Linked DNA regions of Drosophila melanogaster. The protein of the gene in region 4 interacts with the protein of the main gene of each other region in a pairwise test. Each region holds a gene or a part of one and is shown on either strand. Other genes may lie near its edges.

Region 1 (7,872 bases), on a different chromosome or scaffold from region 4:
AACTGCGCCTGCGCTGAGTTTTCGCGTAAATTCTTTTCCTCCAATGTCATCCTGCTTGTGAGAGGTCCCTAGAATCAAAAGTTAATAGTTTTTTTTTTCACCAATCCGCTGTGTTACAATTAATTGTCGAATCAAAGGTTTAGCCAACCAATTCCTAAAATTATGGTAACCAGCGACCGCCATAATCAAACAAAAATCCGCCAAACCAGAAGCTAACCAGAGAAAAAAGTTCCCCATCCGCCCACTAGTAAATCCGTTAGGATAACTCCGGGAAGGAAACCTATAATTCACCATATAGTAGTTACCCGCTCAAGGATATCAAATTCGAGACCATGCCCATAGGAAGCATTATCAAAAAGGCTTCTAGTTTCATACTGGGCGACGAGAGATTGGACAGAAAAATCGATATTGCTTACGAAGACAACGAAATCCTCTTCTGCAAGAATAACGTCTGCATCCATCCGCCCACAATCGCCCGCGATGAGTCGGATATACTGCACAATCCGGGCTATTTGACCTGCACGACAAAGACCTTTGTAGATCAGTATAATAGCGCCAAGAGGCCCACGCTTCTGCTCACCTGGATACCGAACTCGTCGCTATGCAAGTATACCAATCTGAATGCCGACGATTGCCGGGGTCAGTGTAATCCGAGGAGCAAGTCGCCGGACTCTCGAAACGGCTACTGCCACGTGACCATACCGCAGACGATCCAGGAGAGGGACATTCGGGAGGAGGATGAGAACGCGGCGGATATGCAGGAGCTAAAGAACGAACTGCAACCGCTGCTGGGTGGCCAAGCTGCATCCATAGACGACTTGACCGCTCTGCTGAAGAATAACCCCATCACGTCGGTGAACATAACGATCTCCAATCCGCAGATCGAGAACAGCAATATATCGCAGTCCTTCAACTGCATCACCATCCGGCCGGATAGTAACAATTGCTCCGATTGCACGAATGGTTCTGGAGTAGGCGATGGCCCGGCAACCGATAACCCAAAGTGGACAACACCTGAACTGCTGGCCTTCAAGCACAACCTGGAGTTCCCGGATAGCGGCAATTCGACGCCAGCCGATCGCCAAAAATCCGCGATGAAGTGCCGCCATTTCTCCGTTGACCTAAGCCAAATGCGATCTCTGCGCCTTTTCTTCAATGACGACAACTGCACTTCGGGTCAGCTGGTGATCGCGTCGCGGGAGTCGCAGTACAAGATTCTACATTTCCATTACGGTGGCTTGGATCACCTGGCCCAGGTGCTGCACCAGTGGCACTGCTTTCTGCACAACATCACATCGGAAACGGGCCAGGATAAATTCGATTTGCCGTACAGGCACTTCATGGTCTGTCGGCCGGAGGTTAAGAAATCGGAAATGCATCCGGACGAGGGCGATGTCAAGAAGATAACAACGAACTTTTTCTACGGCACGCTGCTCAATGAGAAGGGACAGATCGAGGACGACTTGCTGCTCCGGAAATGTGTCTTCTTTGGTGGCTTGGAAAAGAGTCTGCGAAAGACGGTGTGGCCATTCCTTCTAAAGTGCTACTCATTCTCCTCGACATTCGAGGATCGCGCAGTGCTCATGGACATCAAGCGGCAGGAGTACGAGGAAATTACGCGAAAGCGCCTGTACTCGATGTCCCCAGAACAGCAAATTCACTTCTGGAAGACCGTGCAGATTGTGGTGGAGAAGGATGTGGTTCGCACGGATCGCACCAATCCGTTCTTCTGCGGCGACGATAATCCCAATACCGAGGTCATGAAAAACATTTTGCTTAACTTTGCCGTATACAACACCGGAATGTCCTATTCCCAGGTGGGTCCTAGATCCAGTTAATGGTTAGCTCGCTTCTTCAAATTGTCCTTAATATTTTGGTTTATAACCCACAGGGTATGAGTGATCTCCTTGCGCCTGTCCTGTGCGAAGTTCAAAACGAGTCCGAGACCTTCTGGTGCTTCGTTGGCCTGATGCAGCGGGCCTTCTTCGTCTGCACTCCCACCGACCGGGATGTGGACCACAATCTGAGCTACCTGCGCGAACTGATCCGGATAATGCTGCCGCACTTCTACAAGCATCTGGAACAGCACAACGACTCCATGGAGCTGCTCTTTTGCCATCGTTGGCTGCTATTGTGCTTTAAGCGCGAATTCACCGAAGCGGTGGTCATACGGATGTGGGAGGCGTGCTGGTCAAACTACTTGACAGACTACTTTCATCTGTTCCTCTGCCTGGCCATCATCGCTGTCTATGCGGACGATGTGGTGGCACAGAATCTACGCCCGGACGAGATGCTGCTGCACTTCAGTTCGCTGGCCATGTACATGGACGGCCAACTGATCTTGCGAAAGGCGCGCGGCCTGCTCCACCAGTACCGCCAGTTGCCGAAGATTCCGTGCACCCTGAGTGGCCTGTGCAAGCGTTGCGGTCCGGGAATGTGGGACTCCGAGCATCGACCGGCGCTGGAGTGCGTGGGCCACAGTGATGACGAAAAGTGCTCGCTTTCTATTGACTAGTTATCTAATATATACACTGTTTAAACTCAGCAATAACTATTGTTGGCGACTGATATAATTCGTCATTAACTATTAACTATTAGCACATGTATTATGCTTTGGAATTATTAGTTTGCTGCCCTGCTTGGCTCTCTAAATGAATTTAGCCATTTACTACGTTTAAACGCCCCGCTTTATTTGCAATTGATAATGTTGAAAGTTACAGATTGGTCGTCTTATTTGCGAATTTTTTATCCATTTATATTATTACTAATTACTTAAAGCTTATGTATAAACAGAGTACGTGGTTTGTTAAACTTATTTTCGCAAATAACTGGCAAATAAACGTAGTGTGCAATTTTTGTTTCTGGTTATTAGCTTATATTATACCAAAGATACACAAAAAATGTAAAAATAAATCAAGCAAGCAAAGTATTACGAATCATTGGAATAAAGTTCAAAAACTGAAAGGGTTTAACTCAGATAATTAATTTAACAATGATTTAATTATGTTCTGATTGGTCCAACAGTTCTATTTGAATATTAGTTATGCTAACTTTATTTAATAAAATCGTAATTTGTGATTAAATTAGGAATTTTCCTTCACTTAACGTTAGCGTTAGTATTGAGCATCGGATCTACGAAAAGAATTACATCTGTGGTAACTGATCAATGGGAGTGGTAAACTTAAAGTCCTCGGGGAAAAGCTTAGCTGCGTGCGGATACATAAGTTTGTAGGACTGTCTGATGGTGACGTCGGCCACACCGGCTATATCACCGATTTCCTTCTGGCTTCTCTTATGCTCGGATGCTTGTGAGGCCATATAGATTGCGGCTGCGGCCACAGAAATTGGCGAACGTCCCGGTACAATATCCATCTCGACGGCTTTCTTTGCAATGTGCGTGGCAGCGCGTTGGACCATGTTCGGCAGGTCTGATAAGAATTATAGGTATTAATCCTGCTACCTTCAAGTACAGAAAGTGTAAAAACACTTACCCAAGTTGGCGCAGAAGCGGCACATGAAGTCCGCAGTGGTTATGAGATCCACACTTGTCTCGAGAGCCTTCAATGTTAGCTTAAAGCAACGGCCAATCTCTTTTTTGCTGATCTTGCTGACAGCACATATTTCCTTGAATGTGCGAGGAACTCCTTCTTGGCGACAAGCTATATACAGACAAGCGGATGCCTTGGCATCGTTGGAACGACCCTTGAGGTTCTTTCCATCATGAACCTACAAGAAAACGGCATGAGGTCTCAACCAAATCAACCGCGAACTCGAATTTCACCTGTTTGAACAAGTTGTTGGCCCGATCGACAATGGTTTTGGGCAAGTTAATGCGATCGGCCATCGAGGATATCTCCTTAAAGGCTGATATGAGGGAGCGATCCGAGCTGCTCATGGTGCGTCTGTTTTGGTACTTGGGTGCTCCAAAGGCGTCAAAGGATGCGGATCCTGTGCCCGGACCAATTATGGTGGACAAGTCGCCGCCACTGAGCAGCGGATTCTCCGGTCCACCGACACGACTGGGATCCACGCCGCTCTTCTCGTTGCTAAAGGTACGCCACTCGGAGCCCACATCAATTACGCGGTCCCCAACCACCAGACCACACTCGGAGCAAATCATATCGCCAGCCCTGTAGTCCTCGATGAGCGGAGATTCGGGGTGTGCGTAGCAGCACACCTTGTTGTTGTCCAGTCTGCAAGCAGTAAGCCATTATTGGTGTTCACAAATTGTTAGGAAACCCGACTTTTACCTCGATGTCGATGCCATTTGTACTCTGTAAGCTATATATTTTTTTAATACTCACATCAACTGGTGATGTGACTTTGCCCGATAACTCGATAGCTGCTTAGGTTTTTGCTTCACAGAAATCGGAATATGGGAAAGTCAACTTTAATAATTATTTTTCTGTATTTTAAGTTTTCTTGCTGTTAATAATAACTTAACCACCTTTAGCATTTTAGCAATCTGTTTTACTTTCACAATTAATGTTCTATATTTTAAGTTTCCATGCTGTTAATAATAAGCACCATTTTAACTTGATTAAAAGTTATTAATTCATAAATAAAAATTTTTAACAATAATAGATGTTTTTTGTCTAGCCAATTCCAAATTAACGCATGTTATTATTTATTTTTTAAGCTGTTTCTTTTTCACCGTTCCATAAGCGAGACAGGCCTTCAACTTCGCAATTTCGCACCCCACATAAACATGCGAGCATGTTCAAGCATTTGGAAACGTGGCAACCCTGCTCGCTTATTGTTATGGCAACAACAGGATGCCGTGCTAAACAAACTCATTGACATGAGAAAATAATCAAGTTCCGCATTGATGTTCGTAGTTTGTACGAGTTTCGGCTGTGCGAAAAATTTACGGCCAACCTTAACTGGCCCTATATAAATTTCGAAGAGACTATACTCTCCGTGGGGCGAACCGGTCACTGCACAGCAGTCGCGAAATGTTCAAAAACACTTTCCAATCGGGATTCCTATCAATTCTGTACAGTATTGGCTCAAAGCCACTGCAGCTGTGGGATAAGAAGGTGCGCAATGGACACATCAAGCGGATCACCGACAACGACATACAAAGCCTCGTGTTGGAAATAGTCGGCACCAATGTCAGCACCACGTTCATAACATGTCCGGCAGATCCGAAGAAGACGCTGGGCATCAAGCTGCCCTTCCTGGTGATGATCATCAAGAACATGAAGAAGTACTTCACCTTCGAGGTTCAGGTAAGCTTCGTCATCTTGCATAAGACAGTAACTCCATGATTTCCGCCCCTAATCAGGTTCTCGATGACAAGAACGTGCGGCGAAGGTTTAGGGCCAGTAACTACCAGTCGACAACTCGTGTCAAGCCTTTCATTTGCACCATGCCCATGCGATTGGACGAGGGATGGAACCAGATCCAGTTCAACCTGTCCGACTTCACGCGTCGCGCATACGGCACCAATTATGTGGAGACACTCCGTGTACAGATTCATGCAAATTGCCGCATCAGACGCGTCTACTTCTCCGATCGTCTCTACTCGGAGGACGAGCTGCCGCCGGAGTTTAAGCTCTTCCTTCCCATTCAGAAGCCGGTGCAGAAGTCCAATGCGATTTGTAGCTAAATTCTGTATGCATCATCAATCAATTAGAGCACCTAACCAGACGGAGTCGACGATTAAAACGGCACAAAATGCACAAGACTGCCATCCAGCACTCATTCAACACTTTATGGGAATCACGAATAAAAATTGCATCATGTACATAAAATTCTATTGATCTCTTGTAAGTATCTCCGTTCCCGTCTCGGTTATCAGAATGGTGTGCTCGAACTGGGCGCTACGTGCGCCATCCAAACTAATGGCCGTCCAGCCATCTTGCAGCACTGCTATTTCTGCTCCGCCCAGGGACAGAATGGGTTCAATGGTGAAGGTCATGCCGGGCTGCATCTTTCCAGGAATCTCATTATCTACGATGTGCAGTTTGATTAGCAATGGAGGAGTCTCTTAAACAGTCTTACTTACAATAGTGTAGTATCTCCGGGGGGCCGTGGAAATAGCTACCGATTCCATGTCCAATGAAAGCAGCTATCGATGCCAGATCATGTTCGTCGCAATATCTGTCTATGAACTTTCCAATCTCATTGAATTCCACACCGGGGCCGCACAGCGAAATGCACTGATCCAAACAGGATTTAGTGGCCTCCACGAGAAAGCCACCCCGTTCGTCCACGTTGCCCACCCGAAATGTTTCCGAACAGTCGCCATGGTAGCCGTTCAAAAAGACTGTGACATCAATATTTATAATATCCCCATCGGCCAACTGCCGGTCATCCGGAATTCCGTGACAGGCGATATTGTTGATCGACGTGCAAATGGACTTTGGGAAGCCGGCGTATCTCAGCGGCGACGGATACGCTTTGGACTCGAGAATTCTTTCATGCGCAAAGGCATCAATCTGATCGGTGGTTGTGCCAACTGTTGCTAGTTTACCGCATTCGCGCAGTATCCTGGCCGCCAGTCTGCCGCTTAGACGCATGGCATCAATCTGAACCTGGCTTTTGATTTCGGGCGATCCCAGCGTGTTACCCGGTGGCATATTCTTGAAGTAGTACGCCGGTTTCTTGATCTCCTCGGGCACAAAACGTTCCGGGGAAACTTGGCCGGTGGACACGATCTGTTCATATTTGCCAGTATCTCTGTAAGTATACCCATCAGAATAGAGTCCTGAAAGAGATAAGCCGGAGCCCATACCCCTTAACTTTGCCGAACTGAAACAAGTTTCTGGCAGTCGTTTTCTGGCGCATTAAACTATTTAAAAGACCAATTCTTCTCATTTTGTTTTGATTATGACATTTTTGCAGTGTGGCAGTGCTGTAAATATTTTTACAGATAACAGCCGAGTGTTAGGGGTATTCCCCCTTTTTTGATAACGGCACAGTGCTTCAAGTTTTTGGAAACTAAACAATTTATAGAGATGTAATATATATTTATACATCCTTACTAACTCTTTGCATTGTAATCTAATAAATAAAAGAAAATCGAGTTGTTTATTGTACTTTGTTTATAATATAATATCTGCAAAAGTGTTTAAAATATTATTTATGCCACATTAGGTTCGTATTTGTTTCGTACATGATCTCCATATAAATTAAATTTTCCATTTGCATCTGGCATGACTGCGAAGCGTGCAAGGGGAAACGAGGGTGTTGCAGAAATTTAATATATCTTTTCGGAATTCAATAGAAGTTGTGCAAAACAGCACATGGAGTTCCTACGATCCTGCGGCCTATTTTTCAGAATATTATGTGTATTATATGTTGACATCGCTCATCATTTACTTTACTATTAGCCACACAATAAGACTTAACTTTACTCGGATTTTTAGGATACAGTCGACTTAAGAGCTATTTAATGCATAACTTTAAATTCTTAATTAAACAAAGAAATCTATGACCTCTTCTGTGATACTATTGCGAATCAGATAAGCCTCCGCGCAAAAGAGAAAACATTTGTTTCGATTTTGTCAATTAACGTTATCTCTTACTGGAGTAATGATTTTTTTTTTTAATATTTTTGGATTCTAAAATTTGTGAGTGCAGTTCGGAAAACGGAGATTAATACATTTGTTACATTTTCAATGTACGATGTCGGTATTGCATAGTTTATAGTGTACTTTCGATTTTCGGTTTATTTCTCATTAAATAATTACAACTTAGGCGCTCCCCTCGATTATGTATCTTTTGTATAATATGAACGAAATACGCGTTGTCAAACGGGCCGTGGATCGCTCGCTTGTTTACTCTGACGTCGATTGATGATGTGTGCCGACAAAACACAAATGTCCCACATCTATGCACTTATCCATCATCCGCTTATGCCGGCAG
Region 2 (7,546 bases), on a different chromosome or scaffold from region 4:
TCCGTGTCCGCTGTGTCCGTGTCCATGGCCACCGTGTCCATGGCCGTGTCCGTGGGACTGCGAGCCCTGTCCGTAGCCCTGCTTGTTCTCGTTGACAAAGTACTTCTCTGCTGGGGGCTTGACCACATTGACGAACACGGGCTCAACCTTGACGCGACGTGGGTGGTGCTTGACGTAGACCTTGCGGAGAACGATTGCTGGGGGCTTGTGGAGCACCACGGGAGCGGGCTTAACCACCAATGGTGGATGGTTCACCAGCACCTTGGTGGGCGGACGCTTGACAATGATGGGAGCGGGACGATGGATGAGGATCTCGCCCTTGTTCTGCGGGTAGGTGATCGATGAGGTCAGGGTGTTACCCTTGGTGTTCACCGGCTTGTACGGAATGTTCTGGTCGGATCCGTAGCTGCTCTGGCCAGCCTGTGCCACACCGGCGGCATCGGCTCCGGATTCGAGAGCACCAGCACCGGCGTTAGCACCACCGTACTCGCCACCAGCTCCACCGGCACCGCCGGCAGCTGCTGCGGCCGCTGAAGCGGCATCAGCACCGCCATCGGAGGCACCGCTTCCGGACTCGGGTCCATAGCCCTGGGAACTGCCGTAGTTGGCGCTTGCACAGGCCTAAAAGTAAATTGAGGGGGGGGGGGTGGATTAGAATTGGATCGACATATACATATACTTAAAATAAGTCTAGCATCGATAGATAGCTTGATTCCGTTTCAAGTAATTTAAAGGAAAGTCAATTTGCTTTTCATGTACGATTTACATGGCACAAACGAAAGCAGTCAGAATTGATAGACTTGGTTTTCTTGGGATTAATCCTAAGATTTCGAGCTTGAACACTTACGATCAGGCAGGCGGCCAGCGCCCAAATGTAGGTCGATCTCGTCATCTTGTCTCCCAGTTGCAGTTCCAGTTGCTCTTCGGCTTCTGGTGTGCTCCCGCTTGGACTGTCTGCTGTCTTCTGCTGCCCTCCATTGGTGGCCGACTACTTTAAATATGCTCCGGACGCGTCTCCGGCTCCGGGTACGTGACATTTGGATTGATGCCAACTCCGGTGCCGGCTGTTCCGCTCCGGGCCCACGCGATGCGAACGAAACATGGCCAAATGTTGATAGATCGCACGCATCGCTGCCAGCGCATATCACGGCGTCTCTTCCACTTACGTAGAAGCCACAACCCGAAAACCCCACTGCCCACTGCCCAGTTGCCATTGCCCGTTTTACAATAACAACGAACACATTGCCACCGAATCGGAATCAACAGCCGGGCTGTGAATCTTTGCCGCATATCGAGGTCCGAACGTCTGTTCAGATAGCGAAAATAGTTCCGCATTGGCAGACACAAGACTCCGGGAGTCGGAATAAGAGGTAATCCGAGGTGTAAGTGGATAGGGGGAAATGATTAGCCACCCAGCTGTAGTCCTTGAATTTCACACGGATTGCGCAGATTCGATTGTCTTTCTATTGTATTGTATTGTATTGTATTGTATTGTATTGTATTGTATTGTATTTCTTACTATAAATGTGATTAGATTGTTAGAAGAGTGGCTATCTTCACATGACCATTTTTAATTTAGAAAATCCATGTAACTGATTAAACCATCAGTTTAAAGTACCATATAAAAATGTATACTTAATAATTGCCAGATAAAATAAATCTCTAGTTGCAAAGAGATTTGAAGATGAAATATGGATCTTTAGCTATTCCAATTAGGAATTCAAAGGCTTACAAACACCTAAAAAGATTTCCAATTCTTCAATTATTATGTTGTTATGTTTTAAAACAATCTTATGAAACTCTAATATGAATTTGGCGTTTCAAAAGAAAAGGTTTAAATACGTATTTAATGCATTAAAAGTGCTATATTCTTTGTTTAAAAGAAAAGAGGCCGTAAAATTATAGTTGCTCCATTAATTCATAGTTATGTTATTATTTATTATTCATTCCGGAATCAACAATATGTTGATAAAGATGACCTTTTGATCCCATTCTTTGCAATTAAACGATAACTGGAATAAGATAGCTACCATCACAAGAGTGTGAAATAATTTCATGCATGATAATGCTATCCAATATCTTTCGAATTGTATCTCATAAAATGCGTACCATGTTTATGCATATTTATAGAATAGTTAAAATACTTGTATGACCGTAGAGATTTCAATTACAAACTTATTTATACTCGTTCATAATTTTATGTTCATACTTTATACCATTTTCCCCTTTATTATTTATTTTTGAAGAAAACTAGATATAATTTTTTGTTCTCTCATGCATTCGTATATATTTATATATTCATAAATATGTGCTTAATCTGTGTGCTTCATTGCCACTCAGGTAGCCCCTTCCGGTCGAAAATAATTGATGACAAAACGTTTACGTTTCAAGTATTTTTTTTTCATTTATTTGCGCTCAGTAGTTCGGCAAAGAAAAAAAAAAACAAAAATTTAAATTAAACCAGCTGTCGCAGCTGAGGAGCAACCCATGCCCAGGATGAGCACCTTAGTAGTTGGGCTGGCCATAGGGCGCGGGGCTGTTGTACAGTGGAGCCTCGTTGCCGTAGGCATTGCCATCGGCAGAGGAGGCGGCACCGGCGGCGGAGGAAGCAGCTCCGGCACTACCATAACCCTGGGGCTGGCTGTACTCCCTGGGCTGGCTGTAGACGGGTGCAACCACCGGGGCCAGTGGAGCCTCGATCTTCTTGCCGGGCTTGTAGACCTTCACGTAGACGGGGTTGAGGCTCAGCGGAGTGGGCACCTTGTTGATCACCTCCTGTTGGTAGATGACCGAGGGCTTGATCTTGTAGATCACCGGATTGCCGCGCACCACAGTCGGTGGGCCGCTGTTCACATGGGCTGGTGGTGCACCAGGCTGGTGGACAATGATTGGTGGCAGGGGCTGGGTGGCGATCACCTGGTGATTGTTGTGGCCCGATGGCACCAACAGGGAGCGGAACAGATGCTGGTCAACGAACTGTGGCGACACCACCTTGATCTTGCCCTGACGGATATTGCTGGCCAGATTGGTCTCGGCCAGAGATTCGGCAATATCCTCGGAGTTCTTCAGCTTCTGGTAGTTGGGATCGGCATTGAGGGCCTGAAGTTGGGCCTGGACGCGACCCAAACGACGGGCCTCCTCCGGCGTGGGCTGGATCTCGGCCTGTGAGGCGATCTGATTGGCAGCCTGCTGGTTGCCACCAGACGCCACATTCACGTACTCCTCGAGTCCGGCATTGGGACCGGACAGGTACTGTCCATGTCCATGTCCGTGTCCGTGTCCGCCAGCGGGACCATAGTTAGCGCTCACCAGCTAATGAGGAGGAGGTAAGAGAGAGAGAGAGAGAGTTTGCGAGATTAGCGGGATGCCCAATGCGAATGCCATGGATAAAAGCTACTAACCGGCGTGGCGGCGATGGCCAAAATGCCAAACCAGAGACCGAGTTGCATGTTGCCGTTTACGTGTGGATCGTCTACTGCTCGCTGTCTGGCGATGACTCCGGCTCTTTATAGCGCCTATAATCGCTGCCCGCCATGGCCGGCTACGTGATCCATCTCCATTTCCGATTTTGCGCCGCATCTTTGTCTCGCCATCGTGCCCAGATCTCTAGACAACCAACCTCCTATGCACCTATGCACCGTGGTGCACCACTCTGCTTTCCGCTCGTCGCAATCTTCTATTTTTTGGCAGTTGTTTCCCTTGGCTTGAATCATAGCTCTTCCAAAGATCGAATATGATGCCAACGCTACGAGAGTCTCGTTTTGGTTGCCTTGTTGCGATGATTACAGCTGTGCTGCAATCTCTCTGCAATCCTTTGGGTTTGAAGTTAATATCCTTTATATGTTTTTACATTGCATTTTAACTTGGGACTTATACTGAAATGTGTACATAAACATGCCCTGCAGCAATGTTTTTTTTTAATCACCCAAATTTAAAGATGTTATCTATAAACTGATAAATATCTTACGCTCGAGATATATGAATAGATAATTTTTGTAAAAATTTCCGAGAAAGATATACCATGTAAACCATATTAGCAGATTATATTAGATATATAAGTACATTTATAACCGCATTCAATTCGATGCAGTTTTAAGCTTTAAGTTTGTGTTTATTAGCCATATAATTAAATTCAAAGGTATTAAAGACATTTAAGTTATTCCTCTTAAAAGGCATCTTTATTTTTAAAAATAAAATGCAACATTCTTATATTTTATGATTTTCGGTGGATTGTTTCGTCTCAATGTGAAATACAGTATCTTATATTTAAATCATTTGTTATACCTAAACTTATATAAACATTGTTACTAAAAACCTGAGCAATGAAAGTTAAATTGTTGATTCAATTTAAACTTGTAGAGTAGTGTATTATGAGTCACTGAAATTTTTTTCTTGATAAGCTCTTAATTCAATTCAAACACAACAAATTTTTGTATATATATATATTTTTTTTGTATTAATTTTATTATTTTTTTTAATAATTTCCTTAATCTCAGTGTTTGTGTAGTTCGTGTTGTGTGTAATGTGTTGGCGTGTGTGTATGTGTGGTGTGTGGTGTATGGTGTGGCTCAGTCCCATTTATAGAACTCAATGGTCTGGAGACCGCAAGTCTTTGGTTTGACGTGGACATGGATTTAGCTTCTAGAGACCCCGCTTATAAAGAAGGTAGGTGAGATCTCGTGCTGGTCGACTGCCGTAGTCATTGAAGGGTGATTTGAAGTTGAGCTGACCGCCAAAGGAGTCAAACTCCTCCTCGTGATGTTGTCGATCCTCTCCAGCTGATTTCATTGGCGAGGGATTCGATTGCTCGGCGTGCAGCTGATCTTCGCTAGAGTTGATAATATAACTCTGCGGCTTGTAGTTCTGCTGCCCATAATTCTGAGGCATTGCATACGTGTTTCTGTGCGGTGTGTGCTGTGGGTATTGTGGTTGTGGTTGTGGTTGCGGTTGCAGTTGTGGTTGTGGTGCATAGTGTTGTGCATGCTGTTGGGCATAGTTATAGCGTTGCTGGGCAGGATGCGATTGCTGGGTCTGCTGATGGATGAGATACTGCTGTTTCATGGCCATGGCTCGATTGTCGAAACCCTGACGATAAGCTGGACGCGATTGGTGTGGCGCAGGTAGAGGAGATGGAGGCTGGACTGCGCTGCCAGGTCGTTCGGCCCCCGGTAAATACTCGTGATGCACCTCCTCGTGGACACCGTTCTGGGTCCGGTTAATCAGGCGATTGTACTCTTCGTTGGTGCCGCCCACCTGCAGATGGATGGCATGTTTGAAGTCATCGCCCAGATGCTTTAGCCAAAAGCTTTCGTCCACTTCGCCGGTGGTGTAGATTCTCGTGGTCTGTCCACTTCTGGGCTTGCCCATCACCGTACCGGTAGCTGTGGCCACATCGATCACATCGTACTGCTCCCGATCACCCTTATCGTATGGCTCAACGCGAGCAGCCAAGCGATTGGTGGTCTCTTCCAGCGGCGCACCCGGAGTTGTGCTCACATTGTATTCCTCATCGGGGCCGGGCGTGGATTCACTTAGATTCTGAACGAATAATGAAGAATATACAAGCATTATTTATTTATTGTATAAACGGAGTGTATATAATGAACCCACCTCAGCGTGAATAATGGCCTGTGTTGAGACCAACAAGAGTAGTATAGGCCAACTGCCGTCGGCTGCCATTTCGACTGAGGGCCCCGGCTCCCATGGAATCCATTTAAATACCCACAAAAGTAGCTCGATTCGGTTAAAAAATAAAATGGCGTGCCGGGACGTGATCTATAACCAGATATGCCATATTCACTATTCACTAAATGTCTCATCCACGAATCTCCAGCGATCTTGATGCGTCAGAGAGAAGAAAAAAAACAAAAAAAAAAAAAAAAAAAAACTGTGAGAAACACCAAGCCAGGGTCATTCGAATTCTTTGGCACTAGTCAATGGGTTCGCTTGCAATAATTTAACGATACTTTAGTTGGTTTTTTAATGGGTGTATGTGCCATTAATTGGATGCTGTAAAACATTGTTGACATGCCGAGAATTACAAGGTCTTGGGATTACATCGCATTCGATTCTACAAAAATCGCACAATAAACTATGTTACTAAACACCCTACTTCTTTAATCAAAGGATAAGTGAGTAAGTCTGCCTGACATATTTTATAAAATTCTAGTCTGAAACGATAGATTAATAACCAGTTATTGCATTTTGCATACTATACATTATTTATTATTACTTAGTACCTATGAATCTTGAGTATTCTTCTAGAAATGTTTTGCTCTTATGGTCACGAAGTTCAGTGAGTTTTTTGTGGCTTTCGGTTGCGAGTATCTTTTGGCTTTTCAATAGTATGCAATCGCAAGAATTTTGTCGCTGAATGATGAACCACCACCACCATTTGTTTATGTAGAACAATAAATATTTGGCCATTAACAGATCGTGATCGTATGCAAATAAATCATATATATTATATATACTGGCTCTTTAATGATAAGTGAGCTTACTAAGACTAACGACTAAGACTAAAAAACAGAAGAATTGTGTTAGGTAAATAAATGCTAAAACCCTTAATTATTTATCAAAGTAATATGCCATTAGGCTATTATAATATTTGAAATGCTTAGGATTAAGAGCTGTTCATTTCGGTGGGCATACTTTTAGGGGTATCATATAGCTAGCTCTTTCTATGCCAAAGGTGCACCCAATGGAACCCCAAATCATCGAATCGAGCACATTTTAATCAGGCAAACACTTTATTAACCAGTTAATTGGGGCAACTTCTTGAAGTGCCGACAAAAGCGGAAAACGTAAACAGAAATCGGAGGTTGGATTCATAACTTCTATAGTACACGTAGATACATATATATATATATATATGTACATATATACAAGCGAATGGAGACCCGAAAGCGGAGTGCTCCACTGGCCTACTTTCGGCTGGATTTTAAGCCGAGCTCAGCAGATCGATGGGTTGGGTTGGGTTGGGTTGCATTCGGTTTGGAGTTTTGGTTTGGGTTTCGGTTTTGATATTGTTGGTTTATATGTAAGATCTCTCTTCAGTAGCCGTAGCCCGCGTCTTCGCCGTAGCTGCAAAGAGAAGAAAGACGAAGACGTTGGGTGAATAAAGAAAGAAACACCACAATGTATTTTCAATTTATTATATTCTGTTTTTTTTTTGTCTTTTGTTTTTCTTTTTGTTTACTTTTCGTCTATGATTTTCTCTGTTTTTTTTTTTTTTTCGTTTAAACTAAGTTCTAAACACTATGTATTTTATGTTGGTTAGATTGGGCACTAGAACCAGGCCCTCAGGTAATCCGTAATGGGTGGCGCATTATAGGTGTCTATACTGTAGCCATTTTGGGTTTGGCTATTATAGCCATAGGTCTTCGCGGGTTGTGTGGAGTAATCATTGTGTAAACTGTGCTCGGTTTCCGATCCCTGATCGAAACCCCAGCCGCCCAGCCGGCCATCGATGAGTTTCTTGAGAAAATCCGTCGTCTGTTGCTTTTGAATTGGCTCCGGATCGACCAGACTGCCCTCGGTGGAGTAA
Region 3 (9,650 bases), on a different chromosome or scaffold from region 4:
CCAATTTTCATCACCCACTCATGAGGTGCCCAACATATGAATATGTCAACTTTTAGTCCCACCGAAACCAACGTCTTAGACCCGGCTGTGATAATTAGCGCAATTCGTTTTTCGTCTTCTGCACTCGAGCGCCTTTCTAGCTATCTTAATTTATGTACTTACGTTTAGCACAATTTACGTTTATTTTTTCTGAAACTTTAGCAACCTCCGAGGCTCTCAAACTGCAAGTTACAAACACAATCCTTTCGCTTTCACGCTCTCTCACAAGCACACGTCCACACATTCTAGTAATCTAAGCCAAGTTTTTATAAATATTGTAATTATACACCTGAACACGCACACACACTTGCACACAAAAAGACAGGGTGAAGACCTACCAAACCAAAAAAAAAAAAAAACACAATTTTCAAAGGAATAAATGTTTAAGAAGCCAAAGAAATTGTGCGTGTTTAGCTAATTTTCCCGATCGCAACCAAATGGAGAAAAGTAATCGGCGAGCTATGCAAAAACTAGTATATTTCATTTCATAATACAATAATTTATGTACGCTGGCGTACTTTACATATCTTTGTGTTTCCTTTCGTAGTTCGTAGTTCCAGTAGTATAAAAATTGTTCGAAAAACACATACGAAAATGATAGTGGGGCAAAGTAGTTGAATATCCATGATATGATGATTAGCAAACACTTTTGGCTTAAAATTAAAGACATGACATGAGGTGTGCGGGGAGGGCGGGGAAAAAGACATAAATATCTAAATGTAAACTGTTGCACTTAAATGAAATGAAGCCAGGGCGCTGCTGGCTGCTCTCCCTGGATAAGTATAAAAATATGCTTCACGGCCGGCGCATTTAAATGTTTTCCACGTGCCACACCTTGGTGTTGCAGTCCTGTCCGGTGGAGATCACAGTGTTATTGTCCAGCCAGACCAACCGAGTGATTTGCGACTGCGGATGGGCATCTGGAGTGGGCAGAAAACAATATGTCAGATATCGCTTAAAGCTTACTACTCTTTTTGAAATACTTACTCTTGATGATAGTATGTTTGGCCGGATTGGCCACGGACCAGATAATGATAGTAGTGTCCAATGATCCACTAGCAACCAGCAGCGAGTTGGGCGACCAGGCCACCGTATTTACGCGAGCACTGTGGAAGCCCCACTCCTTGTTGTGTGCAGGCTTTTAAAATACACTCGATTAGTAATGGAATTAAGACATTTATGATTCCTTAATACCTTGTACTCCTCCACTGAGTAGAGCACCACCTTGCGATGGGCATCGCAAGCCACCAAATACTTCAAGTCCGGCGAATAAGAAACATCCGTGACAGCTCCCAAGTGATCCAGCTCCACTTTGGGCTCCAATACTCCGCCCTTCAGGGTGTAGATGTGCAACTTTTGGTCATCCCCGCCGACAGCAACATCGGAAGTGTCCGCATTAACGGCAATCGAGCTAGCCTCGTACTTAATGGGCAGCGAAAAGATCTTCTTCTGGTCCTGCACGAGAGTCAACTCTTTGATGCAAGCAAGTGCAATGATGTTCTCGTTGCGCAAAATGGCCAAGCCACGTGGCTGGCAGTTAAGCTTCACCACATAGTCCGTGTAGGAGTTGCCCTCCACGCTGAACTGGCGTAGGCTGTCGTCGATGCCACAGGTATAGACAAAGTCACCCCAGGCGGCAATGCCGTTGATCTGGTTTCCGTGTCCAGTGCCCGTGATGCGATCGTTGGTGCCGCTGCCCGAGTTCCAGTTGGTCACCACGCCATCGTGGCTACCCGTGTATATGGTGCTGCGGTCATCGCTCAGTCCCAGCACGGTGATGGGCTTATTGTGGCCCTTCACCACACGCAGCGGTTTCGAGGGATCCGCCACATTGAGGTAGGTGATCACGCCCGAAAGCGAGACGGTGATTAGGTTGTCTCCTTGCCACAAGCAGGACACCTGCTGGTCGTCCACAGTGGTGCCCATCACAAACTCGCTAACCAGCTCGCGCGACTCCACTGTCCAAAGGCGGCACGTCTTGTCGCCGGAGCAGGTTAGCAGTTGGGTGCTGTCTGGTTTCCAGGCCAATGCGTAAACGCCGCCCTTGTGGGCAGGAGATCCAAATTCGCCCACCAGTTCAGAGCTGGTGCCATCGTACAGAAAGACTTTGCCATCAAAGCCGGCGGAGGCGAAGAATTTGCCATCGGGCGAGTAGCGCACAGCCTGGACGAAGCGAGAGTGATCCTGCTTGGTCATCTTGAACTTGAACGGGGGTCCCTCGAACACGGCGATAGTATTGTCTTCGCTGCCTGTAATAACAAGTGTGTGTGTGTAAGTAAGTTTATTGCATTTTGGGACTATTATGTGAACTCACCCGTAACAATGCGGAATGGCCTGGCTGGCCGGAAGTCCGCCGAGTTAATAGACTTGGACTGGCCACTGATCTCGCCCACAGACGTGCCGGTTTCAGACATAAAGACATGACCGAAACGTTCGCGTCCTTCACCCACGGCAACGATGCGCTGATTGTCTGGCGACCAGCTAATATCCTTGATGGGTCCTGCAATGGGCTGGAACTCATTTTTAAGCAGGTGCTCCTTGTTGACCGTGTCCCAAATGCGAATCTTGCCGGAGGCGTCTGGTGAGAAGAGGAGAAAGCCAAATAAATAACATTGCTCGCTTCAAAACCGCAGATAAGATAAAGAAACCGCTCCAAATAAGGAAATGCTAATCATGACCGTGGCGTGACTCATAGTGGTCACGATTTTTATGCTCTGTTGCCGAAAGCCGGGTGCTCCAAGTGTGAAATTGCTGGGCGAGACTTACCACCAGATGCAATATAAAATCCGCTGGGCGAGTACTTGGCCACGTTCACTGCACACGAGTGCTCCGTGTAGACATCGGCAATGGCTGGATTCTATGGTGCGGAAGAAAGGGAAAAGCATACATACATATTTTAGAGACACTTTTAGCAAATTAAAACAAATTAATGGTAAATGGGATCCTAATTATGAACATAGGTGTTTGGTTTTGAATTTGTTATGTATGTTTCCTTCATTAACATTTCATTTTCCAGAACCTGAATATCTTTTGGCGGAAGATTTTATTTCTTGATCATTAAAGATACCATAGAAGTGGCGGGATTATCGGGACAAAAGACAAAGAAACATGGAAATATTTTGAATTTATACCGATTCAATGGGTGAAAGATAGGCAAACACATAGCTGCTGTGAAGAATCACTTTGACCAGATGAAAACATCATAATGATGATGCGTGGGCGGCAAACAAGAAATGTATCTATGTGCCAGTCTGTGTTTTGCCGGTTGGCCTGTGGAATGGGAATCTGTGTTTTGCGCCTTATATACTGTACATATATATATAAATAAATATAGAACAGCTGCCCGAAAGCCAGAAAGCACACACAAACTGGCAACAGAAACTGCAGCCTGTCCAAAAATAAAACACCATTTGGACGTAAATGCCATGGATTTATGGCAGGAACGGAGCAGCAGGCTGCAGCATATATCAGCTTACCTCGATGTTCCGGATGATCACAGAGTTTCCATTGGTGTACAGGAAGTTCTTGCCCTTGGGATCGGCACCCAAAACGATGGGTTGGCCGCGTTGGGTGCGCGGCAGAGTTGCGTAGATGTTTTCTGCAATTAAGCGATTATTTCGATTAGAAATGGGCTGTGACTGCTGCTACTCAGATAACGCCGGCAAATTGGAGTGGGTGGAAAATAGGGTGCGGCTTCGTTTTTGGGGAGCGAACGGGAACGGGGTCGCTCCAACGGCTCCACACGCGCCTCCTCTTACTGCTTAAAAAGGTCTTTCATATGCATCTATGCCCATTTATGGGCATAATCACGGTGCTTCCGGCGATTGCTTTCTGCTTTTACCGTTTTTCGCCTGTTGACTCATCCCCCTCTCTACGTATCACATTCGGAGTGGGATCGGATTCATGACTCCAGTTTATCTCTGTGGGATTCCAACTCACTGTTTTCGTACGCCGGTGGTTGGGGTTGTGCCATTCTGGTGATTTCTCGGTGCTCCTGAAGCCTTTACTAATTAGTGCGAAATTCCGCGGATAAATGAAAACACCAAACTCAAGTTCGCCGACGATTAGTGGTGGGCTAAGATCGATGTTTTCACCATCGTCGTCATCGATGGTTTTTTCTTTGCTTTATATCGACTTTGCGCTGCGTTTACCCCTTTTTAACAGCGAAGTGAACTGGAAGGAAATTAAAAATATATTGTTCTGTGTTTTATACTAACAGTAACTACTAATTGCTACCGTTTTTAATTATACACTAAAAAATTGTTTTTTTTTTTGGGATTGAGTTTTCAATTTCCTATATTTGAAAAGGAAATATATAATCAAAATTGTATTTTTATCTAATTTAATAAAATGTATATTTTTCAAAAACTATCTAAATATCGATAAATTGCGCCAAATAAATTAATCGGTCTCTGTGGTTCCCCACCTCTACCATTGTTTATATTTTTCATTTTCCGCAAGAATGATGCAAAGATTTCCGACGCAGGCGACCGTGGAGAATCCACGTTATGGACAGCTAATCATAGGACCTCCTGGTTCTGGGAAAACCACCTATTGCGGTGAGGCCCTTAAGTTCTATCGCGAACTGGGCCGTCAGGTGGGCGTTGTGAATCTGGATCCAGCCAACGAAAACATGTCCTACGAACCGGTGCTAAGTGTGATGGAGCTAATCACTGTGGAGGATTGCATGGAGCACCTGAAGCTGGGACCAAACGGAGCTCTAATGCACTGCGCTGAGTATCTGGCCGACCATTTGGAGGATTGGCTGTTGCCGGCACTGCGCAAACTAAGCGCCACTTACAACTACTTCCTGTTCGACTGTCCCGGCCAAGTTGAGCTATATACCCATCACAACGCTATGGCCCGGATTTTCGAGCGTTTGGAGCGTGAAAGATATAGCCTGGTCACCGTTAACCTTATAGATTCCCATTACTGCTCGGAGCCTGCCAAATTCATTGCCACTTTGCTGATGGCATTGAACACCATGTTGCGGATGAGTCTACCCCACGTTAATGTGCTTTCCAAGGCCGATCTGCTAAAGAAGCACGAGACCAAGTTACACTTTAACGTGGACTATTATACGGACGTCCTGGACCTCAAGTATCTGCTGGACAAACTGGACGATGATCCCGCCATGCGCAAGTATCGAAAACTGAATGCAGCCATCTGCTCCATGGTGGAGGACTACGCTCTCGTTTCGTTCCAACTGCTGGACGTCTTCAGCACGGACAGCATGCTCCGCTTGCGCAATCACATCGACAAGGCTAATGGATACGTCTACAAGGCAGGTGAGGAGCAGACGGTCAACTCACTACTAGCCTGCGCCGTGGGTGCAGAAACTGAGGCCGCTCGCATGGAGCATGATGTCCAACCCTATATGGAATAAAAGAACTGAAACTAATCGAAAATAGCCTGTGATATTGTGCATTGTATTTCGAAAATAAGTTATACAAGTCGAGAGTGAGGGATTAAGGTACGGAATGAAAAGCAGTGATTTTTTGGATTTATTAAAATATTATCTCGGCTTGAACTCTTAAACTTTTTTAGTTGTTTTTCTAACCACATATTTTTAAGAGGAAATAAACCTTTAAAGTTGTTTAAATACATTGCAATAAGAATGGTTGATAATCACTTGAGGATCACCTAATCGGAAAACACCAAGAGAACTCTACATTTGAACTTGGAAAATCCAGACCACCACTAGATGTCGCTGCAAACGTTAAAACGTATGATGTATGTAAAATTTTACAGATGTACAGAATTGTACGGGTTTGAATTCAGAATTATTAAATTAAATTTAATAAAAAAAAATACAACAAAAATCATTTCGTTTTGTTTTGTTTTTGGGCTTTGTTGACTTTTTCAGAAAATATGTCAAATGGAGAAAATTGTATTTATATAAATTATGATTTTAAGAATATCCTTTGCTAGGCGAATAAAAATTGACAATTGAACTGATCTAAAATATCAATAAAGAAACTTATACTAAATAATAACTTATTACATAAGAACAGGTATGAATTTCGAAGTCTGGTAGATCTCATCAAAAAGACCCACGTTTCTCGGTAAATTAGTTAGGCTTCAATCAAACAAAAGCGTCCTTTTTAGCATACAAAAACCAAAAGTTCAACTTGAGTCGAAAAGGATCTGCATCTGAACCCTATACTTTGATTTAACTAAAAGCAAAGTCCTCGTTAACATAAATAAAAATTAATTAAGTCCGAGGCGCGTTGTTTTGCGAGATAAGAGCTGGAACGACCGGTGAACATCTCGTGGCAAGCTGCAAATTGTGGCACGTGCACCACAAAACGGGATTGCCATTGACTCCTATACCACGACCAAGTCGTGAGCACTCGGGGGCTCCGTCTTGCAGACACGGGAAGACGCGTTGGGATATAAAAAAGCACCAGGAGTCATCTTATTTTAAGCCGATTCGTGAATCCCCTTTTGCGGGTAGCTTTTATTTAATGAAGCGAAAAAGTTGTTTATTAAAAACCAGCCAAGTTATGCTAATTTACGCTTGTTCTTAAATCTAAAAAGGAGTTATGGATCTTCCTTATACATGTTTAAATGATACGCTTTAGGATTTAAAACTCTTAAGGGCTAAAAAAGAATAAAGAGTTTTAAGAATTTATTGGATTTCTCACCAAAGAATGAGCGTTTACAACAAATCATGAAAGATAAATTTGCTGTATAGCATTGATTATAAAGATATTTAAAAGCCCTCTGCTTAAGCTGGTGGCTCCTCTTTGTAGGGCATAAGAAAACAGCGGCAAAAACGAAAACAGTTATTAAATGCAGCAGGCTCTTGTCAGATTGCAGCAGGCTGGCTGCCAATTCCCCAGTCCCCATTCCCATTCCCAATCCCCCAAAGCACCGATCCCCTTGACCGCAAGCCAAATTAAAATAAACGAAAGTGGTTTCGTGCCAGGACGAAGTGAGTGGGGCTCGGATTCGTTTTGCCTTTGCGATTTGTGTAAAGCAGCGGGCTGCGGTTTCTTGTTTTTTTGGCACACGCTCTGCAGGATAATTCGTCGCGTCCTCAAAAGCCATAAGTGCGATCCCCTGCGATGTAAGCGCGTCAGGCTAAACAGTTAAGCGACCTGGCTTGTAAGAGCGCTATTTGGTTTTGCTTTCCAGGCCAGTCCTGGCAACGATTGCGGTCAAAAGACGCGCGTCCTGTTCCCGAAAAGCAGGTGCACACCAGCAGCGGCAGTCGGGGAAAAATGTGCCAGCTAAGCAACCGGAAAAAAATAAAGGAGTTTCGGCTCTAAGGGCATAGGACTAGGAGATGACCTAGAAAACACGAAGTACGGAACTATTAACAAGAATCCCTTAATTTAAGGAGTTTAAGTTAATCACTTCAATTTATCCCATTTAACGTTTAATAAAGATAAATAAAAGAATGTTTCAAAAAAAAAAAACATCGTCCGAAAACGTGAGGTATAGCGATTTTCATATCAATTGGCCACGTTCTTGGCCAGTTCTTATCACTCCCCTCATACGCTCGCTACACCCATCATACCCCAACGATACCCTGTGCACCCCCATTCCCTATTATTACACGGTATAAATGCCTAAAAAAACAGCCCAAGTCAAGTGGGCATCTAGATACGAGTAGAATTCCACCTAGGGAGAATCGAACTCGGCGAGGGAATACACAATATTTGATTGATCTTTTTACATACTCGAGAGAGAAGGGCGAGATATGGGCAGATTGGCGGGCCCATGTGGAGGATAGGAAGTGAGCCGCCGATCCGAAACCCAGATCGTAGGTAGGCCGGGTATCCTGCGTATCCTGCGTCAGTTGTGCTGAAGCCGCAGCAAGAGGAGTAAAAATGCCATATGCTGCACTTGAAGCGCAGGCAGCAACCAGCAAGCAAAGGCATCGGCCAAATCATTAACTTAAGGTTAACGGTTGCCCCTGCTGCATTGTCTTCATCCCCGAAACAAAAAGCGGAACCAAATGCTCAATCTTGACCGGAACTGTAATTTGATCGAACCCGCGCACAGATATTAGATACGATAAGATCTTTCATCTCCCAGCAGCAGCAGCTTTTTCCTGTCGAAAATTATAAACTAAGCTCCACTAGATCGAGATTCTTTAAAGAAACCTCTCCGGGTTATTCACCCGACCGCGATCATATGAGATCGCCCAACAGTTGCACATTTTTGGGTCCTTTTTCGTATTTTTTTTTTTGTTTTTCCCTTGCTGTTGCTCATTTCTTGCCTTCCCTTAGTACCTGAGTTCATGAATCGCCTTTCGGGTTTTGGATTCGGGATCGGGGCGCGTGCCTGCTGTCGTCGTCGTCTTCGGTGGGTTTTAAGTCCTCAGGTTCGGTGTATCTGTATCTGTGTATCTGTATTTGCAGCGAGCACATGACGCTGCTCACCACTGTGTTGGCCCTTTGCACTCTGTTGGCTTGAGTTTACTGGCTTAAACTGTAATTCAGGACGCTGCTTATGCAAATATTTTGATCGTATGCCGAGACGAGAACAGTTGGAAATCAACAGGATGGGAAAGTAGTAAGCTTAAGAGAACGAGAATGTTTTGAAAAAAACCGTTCTTTACTACAGGGATACTCGATTTTGTGCATTTATTTCGAAAAAAAGTTATACAAGTCGAGAGTGAGAGATTAAGGTACGGAATGAAAAACAGTGATTTTTTGGATTTATTAAAATATTATCTCGGCTTGAACTCTTAAACTTGTTCTATTTGTGACTTAACCCATTCGGGAAACCGAGCAAACTCATAAATCAGCTCCAGCATTTCCCCCTTGCTCAAGTTTGTTACCATCGTTCATATGAGACGCGTTGACACTTATGAATTGCTTGGCAATTTAAGCGACAAGACACCCACTACCACTAAAAAAAAAACACAGAAAGAATCTGCACAGAGATTAAAATTACGATTTTAGTAAGTTGCTATTAAAAAAAAAAGTTTTTTAGGAATACAAAATATAGAATTCGATGTTGAACTCAAAAGACTTACTTTCTGTTTGGAAAAACAGAGAAAGAAAGGACAAAATAAATATAGTATCTATAAAGGTATATTGTAGGAACCATAAGGTTCAGAGATCGAAGTTACTTATTCGGAATCGTATTTTATTGTGCTTCCCCATAGCTTTCCCATTATTGGCCAACTATTTTACAAGTGTAATGGCAGCACCACACGTAGCATTCGCGGACGACAATTTACACCGGGTGCTAGCCTGGAAGCCAAGTTACTGAGATGCGGCTGGCGCCGACTTTTCGCCTTGAATGGGTCGCTAAATCAAGCAATTATGAGGGCCTTTGTCGCAACTACATACGTACGAAGTACCGAGGTTCCAAAGTACCAAAACATATGCAAATCAGCCGACCGACGACCAGTCGAGAGATGAAAGGTCTTGGGTCTGCCGGAGATAAAGGGAAATCTGTTCAGGGCCAATGAATTGATTTTCCTGCGCCCATTCCCATTCGACTGCCGCCTGACTTACGCGACTGACTGGGCCTAGTTTATCGGCCAACTGCCACGCCCCCCGCCGCGTTGCGCCCCTTTGGGCCCTGCCACACCGCATACATGCAAAGCAAACCGCCAAAGTCAAAAGAGAGTTTCGGGAGCTCGTTTT
Region 4 (6,763 bases):
TATCTTATACTATAATCGAACTCTACTGCAAGGACATACATATATAATTAAAAGATCTTTGCTGGACAAAGTCTCGCATTTTGGCTTAAGTCTAATCAAAGGTCGTGAAAACAGTGGCTTGGAAAGAACCTTCCGACCTCAATGTCCCGAAGAGCTGCTGTCCGTAAAGTAGGGATGCTGCATCGCCGCCTCCGCGCTAATTCGCTGATTTGGCCGGCAGATGAGCAGCTTTTGCAGCAGGTCGCGTCCCTTGGAGTTTAGCCTAGGTACCAGCTGACTCCACGAGGTGATGGCCGGAAAAGCTATAATATAAATAGGCTTTTAATATTGGTATCGATAAATAAAATCCGTCTAGAATCCCTACATGGAAGCGCCACGTAGTCGGAGAGGTGCGAAACTCCTGGCCAGGAGTCCTCGTTGGGGGTGCCCAGCACACGGAAGATCTTCATCAGCTGATCGAGCACGTCAGAGCCAGGAAACAGCGGTCGTCCAGCGTCCGCCAGTTCGGCCAAAATGCATCCAGCGGACCACATGTCTATGCTGGTCGTATAGAGCTTGGCTCCAAATAGGACATCGGGTGGTCGGTACCACAGGGTCACCACTTCTGCGGAGTAGCACTTCACGGGAATGCCAAAGGCTCTAGCGAGACCAAAGTCAGCTAGCTTTAGCTCGCCGTTTTTGTTGATCAGCAGGTTCTGTGGTTTCAGATCGCGATGCAGGACATTATGGCTAAAATAGGATAATGTAGCGTAAGTTAAGTCTCAATGCTATAAAATGGATATCATTCGGAAATGTGCCACAGATGAAGTTACTCCAAATAACACTTGATTCTAACTATAATCGACACAAGATAAGACCTAATCCAGTGCTGATACATATATAGGTATACCTGTGGCAGAATGCCAGTCCGCGGAGCAGTTGGAGCATAAAGCTCCTGCAGACGGCCATGTCGATCTCCCCGTTGAGGCTGTCAAAGTACTTCTTGAGGTCCTGGTCGCAGTGCTCGAAGACCAGGGTGAGTTTCTTGTCCGAGTGCAGGACGTCTATGAGGCGCACAATGTTCTTGTGCTTCAGCTCCTACGGATGGTAATGTGCCGATTTAGTTTATAAACTGGAATCACTTCCTGCTCGTCCGACTGACCTTCAGCAGGCAGATCTCCCGGAGGGCAGAACTGGGCACACCCTCGTCGTCCTCGTCCAGTCGCACCCGTTTCAGGGCCACTATTTCCATGGTGTCGCGGTTGCGACCCTTGAACACCGTGCCGTAGGTGCCCTCCCCGATCTTCTCCATTTTATCGTACTTCTGCATTTTGCTGTGTTTTGGTGTGTATTATTTTGCGTTCAGATGGAAAACTCCGGGGATTATTGTTTTTGCAGTTTGTTTTTGCTGGCCAGGGATTCGTGCGCCTAACAGCACACTGTTATTCGCTTACAGCACGCGGTGACTAACCAACATCGCAGCTGACAGTCTGCTGTCACCAAAAATACTCAAAATTAACAGATATCATTTTAAAAATGTTGATAAAACTTTTGTTATAATTTTATTGTTTTATTTGGACTCGATATTAGCTAAACATACGAATATAGACCGACAATGATAAACACCGATCTTATGGTACCGCAATGCAACAATATAGCAGAAATATAAGTATACAAGTTTCCTAATTTCTTTTGCCCTTTGCAGAATACCAAGCCTGGCTTACTATGTCTGCCCGATGATGTTCTAATGATAATTCTAAGTTATCTCGACTTGAAGACCCAACTAAAACTGAAAGACTTTCATTTCCGGTTTAAGAAATTAATGCCGTATGTGTGGCGTGCTTATAACAAATGTGCATATATATCCTTGATTGAAATGCAGCTGAGCGACAAGGATTTGCTATTCTTCCTGGAAAGTACTCAACAAATCCTCAGCACTCTGCGGCTCAAAATGAATAATAGATCTAACTTCGAAACACTTACCAGCTGTAGTTTTCCAAAACTTAAAGATTTTCGATTTTCCACGCATTCGTTTAACTTAAACGATGCGGACGTGCCAAGAATGTTGAAAACTTTTCCAAATCTGACAACTTTTAGCCCCCATGGAAAGTTTACTGGCAAACACTTTGATGAATTCGAGTTTCTCGAGAACCTCACGGTCTCCTACTGCAGCAAATTCAATGTCACCAACTTGATACAGATCCTGAAAACCAGAAAAATAAAATCCCTGAAGCTGGGTATCTTCGATATTGACCAGATTTCGAACACAGAACTGCCCTGGAAAGGGATTAGAAACCTAGAGCAGCTGCAGTGCTTCCAGGAGGAAATGATGGTGTGGTTCCTATCGAAACTGGAACGTCTAACTCACTTGAAGAAGCTATTTCTTTGTGGTCACGTTAGATACGGATTTCTGAGAGAGATTCTCATAGCTGCGAAGAGAAGCACTATAAATATGATCGAGATAAGCCAAAATACATCCATATTTTGTGAAACTTACGGTTTAAATGTGGCTATTAAGACCCTAAAGGTGGCTAATTTTGGTATGCATGCGTATCAGCATCTTCACATTAATGTCAATGAATTTTATATACAAAATTCGGTTTGTGTGGACGAAATTAAGTTTCATACCTTAATACAAAACCTAAACACACACGAGGTCCTGGGTATATACCATTGCACCTTCGGATTTAAGGAGTTCACATTCGATGCGAAGAAACTGGGAGAAAACCGTACCACAGCACTTAATATTTATGTGGAACTAAACACGTATCTCATGTCTAATGAGGTCTAAGTATTTCACAACTTATATTAGCTTTCGTTTCTAATATTTTTCATTACAGGATCCCATCCCCATGACCTGGAAAGTGCAAGGGGAACATAGGCTTTTCAAGTTGCACATGAAGCATCCAAAAATCACTTTTAACTCGGATCCAGTTTCAATTTACTTTGATTGAGTTTGATTGCCAAGGAACGAAGCTGTAGACTGATGACTAGTTTGATATGCCAGCTGAGATAGATAACTTTAAATGGCCGAGCCAAATAATTAGTTGTACGTTTTCCCTGGTTATGGAAAAGATTCAACCTTACCGGCGGATTTCAATGAGAAGTTTCCAGGAGTTCTTCAATGCAAGCTCCTCTAGAAGCTGCCAAGGATTGACAGTACTATTAGTTACAAAATAAAGGCTTAGTTTTATTGAGACTGTGTGTCAACTTAATTCAGGAGTACAACTCAAATTCAGTGCGCTCAGCATCCGTCATCGGTTCGACGACTTGAAGGCAGGCATTAGCGAACTCCACGAAGAGTGGCTCCTGCATGGCGGCCATCATGGCCGACTGGGCATTGATGGCCACATCAATCTGCTGGAGCAGCGAACGCAGGTGTGGATTGTGGAGCAAATTACGCAGTTCCTGGCAGTTTTCTGTACGGAAACCATCATACTATGAGAAATGTGTATAATTGCGAATTTAAACACCTACCTAGTTGCTGGAGCTTCTCCGCGGCAACTGTGTCGTCGGTGGGGAAGGGCACATGAAGCGTAGGTTCCTCCTGGTAGCCAACTTCAGTCTTTTTCAAGTCGGACTCCCTTGTCGCACATTGGGGCGAATCCCTGTGTGTCTTATAACAAGCCACAGAGCAGCTACATTTTGCGACATTTATTATCTCCGTAGTGAACTGTTCGAATAGCTACTTACTAGGGTGCCGAGCATTTGCTGCACTTGTATTTTCTCAAGTTATCTACGCAAATAATGCATTTTTCCATCTCATCAAATTCAATGTCGCGTGCAAAATAAAACTCAGCTGTGCGAGTTTTATAGCCTCCAGCTTTTGCCTCTATCGAGGGTTCCAAGCCGTTTCTGCTCCACTGGAACGGCGTTATGTTTTTGGAGGTAAACAATCAAAAAGTTAAATGCAAAACGCAAGCAGAATAATATTAAAATGCGCATAAGATCGCGGGGCTGCATGTTAATTTAGTGAGAAAACAAAACTAGTGGAGTTCTACGACGAGTGTGTTGAAACGAATCCCATAGCTTAGTTAGATTGTTCTGTAGCTGCCAGCCTTCGTCAACAGATGAATTCTATCTTTGGCGCCATTACTTTTAATTTGAATTTGAACAATTTGCTGGAACAAATAAAATGTTCATCATCAACATTCAATTTTGCTCATCATAAATAAGTAAATACTTTATATAGTCAGAAAGCTTCAATCTACTGTATCTGTATCTCACTGACTTACATATTGAAAACGTTTAAAGATTATCCACAGGTATTTTAGTTATTAACCATACGATTAGCGGAGTGTTTGGTCAGATTGAGGAAGACATAGAGTCGTCCTGCCCTTTTCCGGTTACGAATAGCCTTATTTGATTGAATGTATCCTGTGTATCCGGTCTGTTTGCTTTGGCCAGTCTCATTTATGGGCCATCCCGGGCACGTCATCTTCCGTGAGGCTTCCGAGCAAACAAACGAGGAACGCTTATCATTGCCCTCCCATTTTTCCGCCCCAAAGCCTCCCAATCCTTTCCCCCCGCCGCCGATGGCAATGCGCAGTCTGAAGCCACCTGGCGAATTAACCGAGAATTCGACAAGCGCGAGGGGAGCAATCAAATGACGGTCGGCGTGTCCGCAAATTGTAAACATATCCTGCACACGGAACGTACTGAAACGGAACGGTCCTTCCCGGGAAGGAGTCGTTCAGATCCGCTCCAGCTCCAAAGACAAGTACAGTACAACCAGAAGTAAAAATAAGTACAACAGTGAGGCTCGATTGGTTAACCGAAGCATGGAATGCCCTTTGTTATTAAGCTTTCTTTCTAATGAAAACGTGTTATGTGTATGCACAATATATAGTCCTAAAAAGTAGGTTTAGTTGCAAGAGAAACATCTCATTTATATGGCCATATTCAGCTATGAAATATACACATATAGATGTGTGTCATTAAGATTTGATAATAATGATAGTCCTATAGGTAATGTCATTGGGTTATAACTTCTTACAGTCCTGTATACGATAACTACACCCATTGAGATCCTTCGTGTCCTGCTCCTAGTCTGAGCCGTAATAACCTCTGCGAGGGTATGGCAAACAGCGAAAAACTTTTGGTGGCAATAAATGACTTCAATGACTGACTGACTGACCGGATGGGGTGGTCTAGGTGCATGGCTATACTCGTATATGAATCGTTTTTTTTCTTCTTGTTTCTGTTGCCATATTTTGGGGGACTTGTAGCCGGGACTGGTTGTTGTTATTTTCAATCGTTTTTGCTTTGTTTTCTGAGCGCTACCAATTGGATTGCACAAAGAAAAACGAGTGGTACAAAAGAAAGCAAAGGATGCAGGCTAACAAAGAGTTTGGGGATGTGGAAGGTCTGGGGAATCGGGCCGGGTAACATGATGTGGCGCCTCTGCCGCTTCCGCTGTTCGTGAGGCACAAGCGCGATAATTGCCAGCGTTATCCGCTCGGCCTGCCAGTCAAATAGGCGCAGCAGCAGAGGCGCTGGCAAGCAGCGGCTATCGGCGGTGGCAGGGATTTCGGGGGGGCAGGAAGACCCTTCGTGTGACTCGCCTACTTTTGATTTACAACATTCGTGCAACATCAGCAGCAGTGTATCGCCAAAAGGAAAAGGGGCGACCAATGCAAACAGCAAGAAGAAAAGCGAGACACACGCCACCAAATGGGGCGAAAGTTTCTCGCGGGGTGCAGTAGTGGCATTTTCCGAGGGCAGGTGTCGTTCGTTAGGAGTTTTCAGCGTTTTTCATTCCCAGCTTTTCCCAGTTACCAAATACCAACTACCAACTACCAACTACCAGTTACCAGCTAGCCGCCAGCGAAAAAGCCAAAAGCGATATTAATAGATAGCGGCACTTTTCGCTTCGTTTTTATCGCCCGAAAAGCCAAACGAGGAAAACACTGGAAGGTGGAAAAATAAGGGGGCAGATAGTCCTGGCAATTGGGCAGATTGACAGATCATGCAATCGTAGTGGCACAGCGTTTATAGTGCATATAATGAATATTAAATTACATGCAACACATATGGCTTTGGCAGTCGAACTTCCTTAGCGCGAATGTACTTTTTTCAAAAAGGTTTGGTTCTTGTGGAGGCAGTTTTTTATCATACTAACCACAAAGTGTTGCACAGCAAAGGTTTAAATCCCTATAAATATATCTATTATGCAACATGTCAAGTGGAGATTGTATGTCCCATAGATTCTTAATCTTTAATAATGGTTATTTTCCGTATAGCGATGATCGCCTGTAGTCCTTCCAGGTAGTTGGATTCATATTGGGTGATAGCAGGCATGCAAACGCGACATCTGCAAGCATATTCGATTGGAATTCACCGGAGTATTGGAGATAGTGGACTAGTGGGTCATCAAATGGATTCGAAAATAATTCGAAATGCCGAACGGATGCCGGGGAACATTAACTATCAGCAGGAGACCACGATGCACGGAGGGATGGAATGGAAGGGCTGCGAGGACTATATGAATCCCAATGGCTTGTAATTTATAACGCAATCACGTGCCACATTCGACGTCGACGAGCAAAAGCAAAGGCGCCAAAAATATGAATATATATATGAAACGAGAGCGACTAAATAATTTGGAAATGATTTACAATATGACCGGGACGAGAATGGACGGAGGCACAGCGATTCCGGAGGTTCATAAATCTAACTGCATGACGAAAAGATGCAGTCCTAGAGTCCACCGCTTTGATTGATGGCAGCGGCCTGCAAACACTTCGCGCCTTGGCCATTTGTCTTCCGCCGCTGCGGCTCTAGT

The links.
Region 1: the proteins of CG8204 (region 4) and TfIIB interact in a two-hybrid assay, tested with the Drosophila melanogaster proteins (one large-scale study listed by BioGRID).
Region 2: the proteins of CG8204 (region 4) and Cp36 interact in a two-hybrid assay, tested with the Drosophila melanogaster proteins (one large-scale study listed by BioGRID).
Region 3: the proteins of CG8204 (region 4) and flr interact in a two-hybrid assay, tested with the Drosophila melanogaster proteins (one large-scale study listed by BioGRID).

What each region holds. Positions count from the first base shown.
Region 1 is NT_033779.5:10,427,798-10,435,669, reverse strand, and holds TfIIB (transcription factor IIB), read right to left. Parts: upstream 4,333-7,872; 5' UTR 4,268-4,332; coding exon 4,251-4,267; intron 4,194-4,250; coding exon 3,782-4,193; intron 3,727-3,781; coding exon 3,492-3,726; intron 3,429-3,491; coding exon 3,145-3,428; 3' UTR 2,554-3,144; downstream 1-2,553. Other genes in the region: TBC1D16 (TBC1 domain family member 16), read left to right, coding at 333-1,817, 1,892-2,515; Bug22 (basal body up regulated gene 22), read left to right, coding at 4,956-5,231, 5,288-5,611; CG5188 (uncharacterized protein), read right to left, coding at 5,759-5,955, 6,011-6,684, 6,740-6,822; KdelR (KDEL receptor), read right to left, coding at 7,861-7,872. UniProt on the Drosophila melanogaster protein: General factor that plays a major role in the activation of eukaryotic genes transcribed by RNA polymerase II.
Region 2 is NC_004354.4:8,475,260-8,482,805, reverse strand, and holds Cp36 (chorion protein 36), read right to left. Parts: upstream 3,488-7,546; 5' UTR 3,450-3,487; coding exon 3,402-3,449; intron 3,313-3,401; coding exon 2,506-3,312; 3' UTR 2,283-2,505; downstream 1-2,282. Other genes in the region: Cp38 (chorion protein 38), read right to left, coding at 1-621, 848-892; Cp7Fc (chorion protein c at 7F), read right to left, coding at 4,642-5,538, 5,611-5,679; Cp7Fb (chorion protein b at 7F), read right to left, coding at 7,288-7,546.
Region 3 is NT_037436.4:13,407,304-13,416,953, reverse strand, and holds flr (flare), read right to left. Parts: upstream 4,112-9,650; 5' UTR 4,013-4,111; coding exon 3,979-4,012; intron 3,949-3,978; exon of another isoform or gene 3,903-3,948; coding exon of another isoform or gene 3,881-3,902; intron 3,638-3,880; coding exon 3,516-3,637; intron 2,897-3,515; coding exon 2,806-2,896; intron 2,618-2,805; coding exon 2,354-2,617; intron 2,289-2,353; coding exon 1,234-2,288; intron 1,178-1,233; coding exon 1,027-1,177; intron 960-1,026; coding exon 850-959; 3' UTR 501-849; downstream 1-500. Other genes in the region: CG10222 (uncharacterized protein), read left to right, coding at 4,502-5,425. UniProt on the Drosophila melanogaster protein: Induces disassembly of actin filaments in conjunction with ADF/cofilin family proteins. Together with GMF, promotes Arp2/3-nucleated actin filament array disassembly. Essential for organismal and cell viability.
Region 4 is NT_033778.4:15,569,994-15,576,756, forward strand, and holds CG8204 (uncharacterized protein), read right to left. Parts: upstream 3,999-6,763; 5' UTR 3,741-3,998; coding exon 3,673-3,740; intron 3,618-3,672; coding exon 3,457-3,617; intron 3,399-3,456; coding exon 3,196-3,398; 3' UTR 3,151-3,195; downstream 1-3,150. Other genes in the region: CG30466 (uncharacterized protein), read left to right, coding at 1,685-2,764, 2,820-2,933; Cdk5 (Cyclin-dependent kinase 5), read right to left, coding at 139-302, 365-729, 890-1,077, 1,142-1,309.